2 linked regions of the Bombyx mori genome follow. The protein of the gene in region 2 interacts with the protein of the main gene of each other region in a pairwise test. Links are inferred from orthologs where the notes say so. Each region holds a gene or a part of one and is shown on either strand. Other genes may lie near its edges.

Region 1 (4,035 bases), on a different chromosome or scaffold from region 2:
CTTTAGCCCGCGACTCCGTCCGCGTGGAATAGTTACTTTGGCACAACGCTAAATTTTACATCTACTTCATTTACATAGAAAGTGAAAATATTTTTGAATTATAGAATGTTAAGGAGCTATGTAAACCCCTATTTTGAAACATTCTTTATTGGTGCTCCACTTGTCTTAGAGAGATGTTATATAGCCGTCTTCCTCAATAAATGGGTTATCTTTAACACAAATAATTTTTCAAATCGGACCAATTAATATTTCCTGAGATTAGCGTGTTCAAACAAACAAACTTCAGATTTGTAATATTATGAAGTATAGATAAATACAAGAATTCCAGCAAATACTAAATTTCAATTTCTGATGAACCTTAAGCATATTTTTTATTAAAATTCCATTATACGATGCTCCTACCATAAATTAATTATTTAAATTGTTTATCTAAATTTATTGTCCTGATATTATTGACAGTTCAATATCATGGGTATCTATCTTGCTTGTGCTTCTTTCTGGAATCTTTTTCTTTTTAACTTAAGATTATATTTAGGGGAAAAAGCGGGAAAAAAAGAAACTTTGTTACAAATAAAATAAAATTTTATTCATGTTTATTATGTTTTAACTTTTACAAAAGATTTATTACGAAATTGGTATAAAGATATAATAAATACATTTTTCGTTACATTAAACTATCTTATGAAACAATGAAAAAAACACTTTTACATTTTAAGACAGTAGCAGTTTAGCACCTACATTTTACAAATTGCTCTCTATCAATTTTTAAATTATTTTAATTCAAAACAAACCCCAAAACATTCTCAAGCAGACTTAATGCAACTACCAAACAACAGATGGCGTTGTGCCTAAGCCAAAATGGCGACCTACTTGAAAAATAATATCGCAAAATTTTCTTTTCACAATAATATCCTCATGTTTAATTCACTTCTCGGGCAACTTGATGACGGGCATTTGTGAATAGCCCCAGTCTGATTCGCAGTGGTCGATCAACTGTCTCTCGGCTTCAGATAATGTTGATAAATCTATTTCTTGACTGTCTGTGAATGGATCTGTATACGGATAGTGTACCAGCACGCAACTGAAGTCCATGGGAGAGCAGTAACCAAGCATTCTCCTCAGCTTAGTCTCACAATCGACCTGTGTACAAAGAAACGAATTTGTTAGCTTTTTTATTTTGATTCCTTTTAACTTAATTCCTTGAATCGTTATAAATTCGATTAATAGGTTCTTGTTAGAGAGTCGGAAATTTTAATGACTTTTTTTACTTCGTGGAAACTAAATTGTCATATAAAATTAATAATAACTATGTATAATTCATTTTATGAAGAAGGAAATAAAATGAAACTCACTTTAATAACATGAATATCATTTTCAACGCAAAATGCTTGCAGGAGGACATCTTGCATATGCGTTGCACTATCGCCAGGCGGGGCTTCGGCGGTCAGGCAAAACAATGCACCATTGCAGTTCTTCGATAAGTATTGAATGGCGGGAAGTAAGCCAATAGTTAACCTTTTTTCGACACAGGCTCGCCTTAACACTGTCTTGATACATTGTCCGATAGAGCTGTGGGAAAACAAATACATTAATAAATTATATGTTACCAAAAACTTTAGTCTCTTGCATGTCAAACGGAGATGCTAACCGCCATACTACAAACAAAATATTATTATCAAAAGCATAAGGTACGTCAATTTATAGTCTAATTGGCATGTTTGAAGTTATTAGAACTTTAAAGTTCTTTGATCTAGGTCAAGTGAAATTCTTGTGAAATATTCATTTTAGTTTATGCATATTGAATTTTTCCTGTTGTAGCTGTAAAGTATTAAGATATTTATTTACCTTTTAGCTGCTATGACACTGAAGGTCTCGGCTTTTACTGGAACAACTGCTTCCTTGTACATTTTGGATAGACGAATGCTTCTTAACTCTTGAATTTCACTAATTTCCAAACTCCGCAGTGAAATCCGAATGTGAATTTTCACAGAAAGCACTAACACTTTACATAAAATCCTTCTATTATGTAAACACACTTGAACTTCTCGCAGTAATTCGAACTTGTGACACAATAATTTCACAACTTTGCTAACGAAACTCGCGTTAGTACACTTTGGATGTTCAATGTAGAATGTGGAGAAGTGACGTAGCGTTCCCTTTTATTGGAAAGGCCGCGCATGCGCACGCTAGTATTTGTATGTGTGCGTATCCTCCGATCAGTTTCGTCGGAGTTTCTTCGAAAAACGCTTGTATTTTCGGTTGTGTGAGTCGTTTTAACTAGTGTAAGTCTGTAAGTGTATATACGAGATAATAATAATGATACGTGGCACGTGGTACGTGTGTGTGAGTGGTTTTTTCTGAAATGCGAACGCGTGGCTTGTCGCGACTTGTTTAAGGACCAATTTAGTTGGAGCTACCCCGTTCTTCTTTTTTGAAGTAAATGCGGCCAGAAAAGGGTAGGTACTATCAGAACGGTAGGTCAAGGTATTTTTTGTTATCGTTAAGCGCATTGGAGAATATCGGAATTCCCGCTACATTGGGTTTTTATTTCAACAGAGGAAATATGGTTCATTTGAAAACAAAAATTGGGTTTGATTCTGGTTTAGTTGTTTTTTTATTTGTAATGAAACATTCGTTTTCAATAGGTACAAGGACTTTAGTATATTTATTGTAGAGCCATGACGGCAAGATGAGAAAACTTCTAATGGGCATTTCTTCTAGTGTTACGACAGGATAGAATTTATTTGAAGTTATGGGCAGGTAGTGAAAATGTTTTTTTTTTTTTTAAGAGATTTTATGACCTGGTAACTAAGACCTTTAAGTCATGTCTTATTTTACTTTATATTCTTAATTTTATGAAAAATGATAATATGGAGTGAAATGAAATGAAGATGATTAATTTGAGACATTAATCAACTGGGATGAAATTTAATGAAATGAGATGATATGGGATGAAATATAATCGCAGTAAAATGGTGGTCATTTACTGAGATTTTTTCAGTGGACTTTTTGGAGGAACCCGAGAAGTTACGTCCAGCAGCTTTGTTTCATTTTCCCACATTGGTGCACTTTCACAGATATTAAACATTTAATAAACCACCGTTATTACACATTTAAACCTGAAGAAACACTAAATAGACAAAATAAAACAAATCACACAACTTCACTGCTCGCGTTCCCGCCAAAAAGTCCAGTGAAAATGTTACTACTATCCTTGTACCTACCTACCCAACTTCAGAAGTCGATGTATTTTAATAGTCTCCACCACAATTCCATTACCTGCATCAGAGCGAGGAGGAAGACATTCATATAAATACGTTAGTTTGAGTATATCATTAGCTACTTATTTTTTTACCTCAAACGTAAATTAAAAAAACCGTGTTTTTTTGAAGTTTTTACTTTCTATAGCACATGAGATGTTAGTGTCGAACGTGAGAGCGACTCTTTCTTATTTTTTTGCTTAGCAGGGTCAATGACCTCGTGGCCCACGTAGTGTTAAGTGGTTACCGGAGCCCATGGACATCAGCAACGTAAATGATTTCTAGTGTATCCAAAGCAGTCAAATTGTATGCAAAAGTGAGTTTGTTTTTCACGTCTGTTAGAAACAAACAAACTCGCATTATGGCGTCGTGTTACTCAACCCAATATCAAGAAACACGTTGTTAAGTGCACTAAAAAAGACATATTCATCATTTAACACCAGGTAACAATTACTATTCTCGATCAATGTAATTTTACTATACTAAAATCTATTATTTATGTGTATAATATTGACGTCAATATTACCATGCACAAGTGACATACTTCGAACGGTTCTATTCCAAGGATCACCGCCGAACAAGTCAAATCGTGTCCTAACAAGTTAACAGGGGCAATGCCACCGGCAAACACAATGATAATAACATGATAATTATCAAGATATTATTAATGATTGTTGTTATCATACTGTTGATCTCGTGAGTAATAGCTGAACGATGTCTGGTTGCCATTATCACAAAGTCAATGTTATTCGACAAGGTTAATAGTTTGTCCTCA
Region 2 (3,831 bases):
CGTGAATATATAACAATAAAAATGTACGCTCGATCGTAATGTTTGTCATTTATTGCCAGAACCCAAACTAAATGGGAATCGTTTCCATTGTCACGAATTACATTTTACAGATAAGTGTCAGCTCACCTGTCCAGTGGCAGCTTGGAGTCGTCGGAACGCCTCCTCATCCCTCACGCCGGCAGCCTGCTCTAATTTGTGTAATCTATAGATTAAAAGTGAAATTGAAAAAGCTAACTCTTACTGGTGGTAGGACCTCTCGTGAGTCCGCACGAGTAGGTACCACCACCCTGCCTATTTCTGCCGTGAAGCAGTAACGTGTTTTGGTTTGAAGAACGGGGCAGCTGTTGTAATTATACTGAGACCTTTGAACTAATATCTCAAGGTGGGTGGCGCATTTACGTTGTGGATGTCTATGGGCTCCCGTAACCACTTAACACCAGGTGGGCTGTGAGCTCGTCCACCCATCTAATCAATAAAAAAAAAAGACCTTTGAAGTCATATCTCAAGGTGGGTGGCGGCATTTACGTTATAGATGTCTATGGGTCCGGTAACCACTAAACATCAGGTGGGCTGTGAGCTCGTTCAACCATCTAGGCAATAAAAAAAATGTAACTCACAAAATTATATTAAAATGTTATTTAGTAGTAATAAGTAGAGTAAGGCAATATAGCTTGCTCGGGCAAGCACCGCGGTCCTATCGGTCGGTTTGTGAGGTCGGACAGCCGGTTTACAATATGATTGAGACGTCGACCTCATGTCTCAAGGGTTCATGTCAAAAATTCTTATGAGTTCCGGATACAATGACGGGCCGGTGACAGTAAATACATCATGCCAACGAACCTTCCACAACACATTACCGGTAAGAAAAGTACTCCGGAGTGCGCAAATGTTCATCAAATCGTTATTTATTGAACTGTAGTAGAATTATTTTGTCCGTGCAGTTTGGGTCATAAAACATAGCCCGGCTAGGGCGGTGAGCATGTTGCGCGGGCGTAACGCCATTATCGATAAAAACAAATGAGTCATCGAAGGCAGGTACACGGCGGCGGGGTGGTAAGACATTGTTATGTTACGAGTCATTTGTACTTAGAGTTTATTCAAAATAATATTTGCACTTGCACTTGCGGGTTTGATTTTTATTACACGATGTTATTCCTTCACCGTGGAAGTCAATCGTGAACATTTGTTGAGTACGTATTTCATTAGAAAAATTGGTACCCGCCTGCGGGATTCGAACACCGGTGTATCGCTACATACGAATGCACCGGGCGTTTTATCCTTTAGGCCACGACGACTTCTTGTTGTTATCAACAATGTGTTAAAATTTTTCACTGAAATGAGAATAGATCCCGAAAAGTTACAGTGTTAATTTCTGCCGTTCTCGTTAATTTGCATGTGGTGTAAGTGTTCGATTAGTGATTTTTCTTTCATTTTTATCACTAACCCACAAAATGACAAAACTAAATACACTATCGATAGCGCTTATCGACAATAATGCGTATCACTATGCCCGTCCATAAGGCTCGTGAGTGGAAGAGAGAGCGAAATACTCGCTTCACCGCTCTCCGATTTTTTATGACCCAAACTGCACGGACAAAATAATTCTACTATAGGCTACTTTTTAATCTGCTAATATTATTTGTTGGTTATTCACAATAGAAACTACTTAATGTTTGGCTATTTCGTTACCTGTGCTCGAGTTGAGCAACCCTTGTGGTCTGCGCGAGGCTTATTTCAGGCTTCAACTTCAGCTGCGCCGTGATCAGCTCACCCTGCTTCTTCCTGCCGTTCGACGACAGGTACTCCCTGTAATTACAGTTCGATTCCTTTCCACTTTTGACAAAAATACAATATATACAGGGTGTCCCAGAAAGAATGGATAATCCTGAAACACCTCATAGCAGAGCTATTGGGGACTCAAAATGAAAAATAATAAAAATATATTTGTTAGGTACCTAATACCCAAATTAAAAATAAAGAAAAAATAACAAAATTTCATGATTAAAATTGAAGTTCAGATTAACTATTATAAAAAATTACATTAGCTACTCAACGATTTCTTGCATATTCCGTCTATGTAGAATATTATAACACCAAAAAGCCTATGGATTTCATTTATTTGTAGCTGTTGTATATTCCAGAAACGCACAGCAGTATAGACAATATCAAGTTTTTTTTAAATACGTAATTAGGGTACTACCTGAGAATTTTGTTTATTTTGTGTCCCCAATAGCTCTACTATGAGGTGTTTCAGGATTATCCATTCTTTCTGGGACACTCTGTATATATATTTTTTCATATTTATTTAATAAGCTTGCAACATTATTTACTGACTGACCCATGATGTTTTTTTTATTATATAATAAACTTTGAGAAATGAGATCTAAGTATTAACATTAAGACATAATGTAAGTACAGTAGGGATTTGTCTACAGTCTTTAATCCGCAATGTTTTTTTTTCACAATGAATGATTTATTGTTTTTGGAACAGCATAAAATCATATTCGAAACGTCTTTTTTCCCAACTTATGCTGGTAACTTTGAGAGGTTATGCCAGCTTAATCAAGCGAGTGGGTGAGCTTACCGTACTTTAACCTGACAAATTTGCTACCATTAGCCCTAGCAAGAGCGCTTCGCAGAATGGGAAACGCGACTCACTGAGAAGATCTGACGAGAAACACAGTGGGATGTGTCTGAGGGTTAATTTGCTCGCCGAACCCCTCGTCACAAGCGACAGGTTCGACGAGAACGGTGACCGGTGCTTGAGGTACATAAATGCACCAAGCAAACATCGATAACTGCATTACGAAACTAATCAATTCCAACTCGTACTATCTACATCTTCTTCTTTTTCTCCACCTTATCCCACTAGGTGGGGTCGGCACAGCTAATTTTTCTCTTCCATTCTCTTCTATCAGCCGTCATCTCAACACTCACTCCTCTCTCTCTCATATCGTCATTCACACAGTCCATCCGTCTTCTTCGGTCGTACTATCTACATATTTAGCAATATTAAAATTGATATTTGTGTGTTTTGAACATTGCTTATCTGTTTGACTAGAAACTTTGTAATTGTTAGCAACTTCGGTGAAGGTTCTTGCCATTGTTACATTAATGTAAGACGATTTTATTTAATATTTCATGCATTTAGTCGTGGTCGCAGCGGAGCGTGGCTTGATTCAAGGAGTCTATTGATAAGTAACAGACAGATAAACCCGAATTGCGATTCTATTGTAAAAATAAATCTATTTACTTTAGTTTCTCGGCCTTAGGGTCAATTTGTTCTCCTTCTTCAAGTTTCAATTCTTCCAGAAGTTTCTTCGTTGTGTTGATTTGTACGGCCAACTTGGAGAACTCTTCCTGCACAAAAATGAACCATTTTTGGGGTGTCATAAACGCAAGACCGCTTCATTGCTTCACGATAAACTGGCCATCTAGCAAGCGATTTAACTGCTGTCTGCAACTTTGTACAGTCAAACCTGGATAAGCGAGAGTTCAAGGGAGCACAATCTCATTCTCGCTTATAGAGGTTTCTCACTAACCCGAGTTTCTCGCTAATGCTCCCTCTGAATTTCATTTCGCGAATTTCCGGATTCAAACGCATTCACTATTTTAAGTTTATTACTTAATGACAGTACTTTAATTTTCCATTTTGACATGATGCAGAACAGAACTTTCCTTCGCAATTGATTAACGATAAACTGAGTAAGGCCGACAAACAGGACGGTACACAGGCACACGTGTCCAGTCGAAAAGAATGCGATAAAATAACAATTTTATTTAGTTCCACGAAATAGAATAGGTTCAATATTGACGAGAAAAAAATACAAA

Evidence for each region.
Region 1: the proteins of dynactin subunit 2 (region 2) and growth arrest and DNA damage-inducible protein GADD45 alpha interact in binary tests that used the Homo sapiens proteins (3 or more experiments, as listed by UniProt). The link is inferred for Bombyx mori from reciprocal best matches to the Homo sapiens genes DCTN2 and GADD45A.

What each region holds. Positions count from the first base shown.
Region 1 is NC_085134.1:418,415-422,449, forward strand, and holds growth arrest and DNA damage-inducible protein GADD45 alpha, read right to left. Parts: upstream 2,376-4,035; 5' UTR 1,908-2,375; coding exon 1,846-1,907; intron 1,689-1,845; coding exon of another isoform or gene 1,641-1,688; exon of another isoform or gene 1,626-1,640; intron 1,570-1,625; coding exon 1,353-1,569; intron 1,141-1,352; coding exon 925-1,140; 3' UTR 561-924; downstream 1-560. Other genes in the region: electron transfer flavoprotein beta subunit lysine methyltransferase, read left to right, coding at 1,641-1,688. UniProt on the Homo sapiens protein: In T-cells, functions as a regulator of p38 MAPKs by inhibiting p88 phosphorylation and activity.
Region 2 is NC_085114.1:13,901,156-13,904,986, reverse strand, and holds part of dynactin subunit 2, read right to left. Parts: intron 3,361-3,831; coding exon 3,254-3,360; intron 1,807-3,253; coding exon 1,690-1,806; intron 203-1,689; coding exon 127-202; intron 1-126. UniProt on the Homo sapiens protein: Part of the dynactin complex that activates the molecular motor dynein for ultra-processive transport along microtubules. In the dynactin soulder domain, binds the ACTR1A filament and acts as a molecular ruler to determine the length.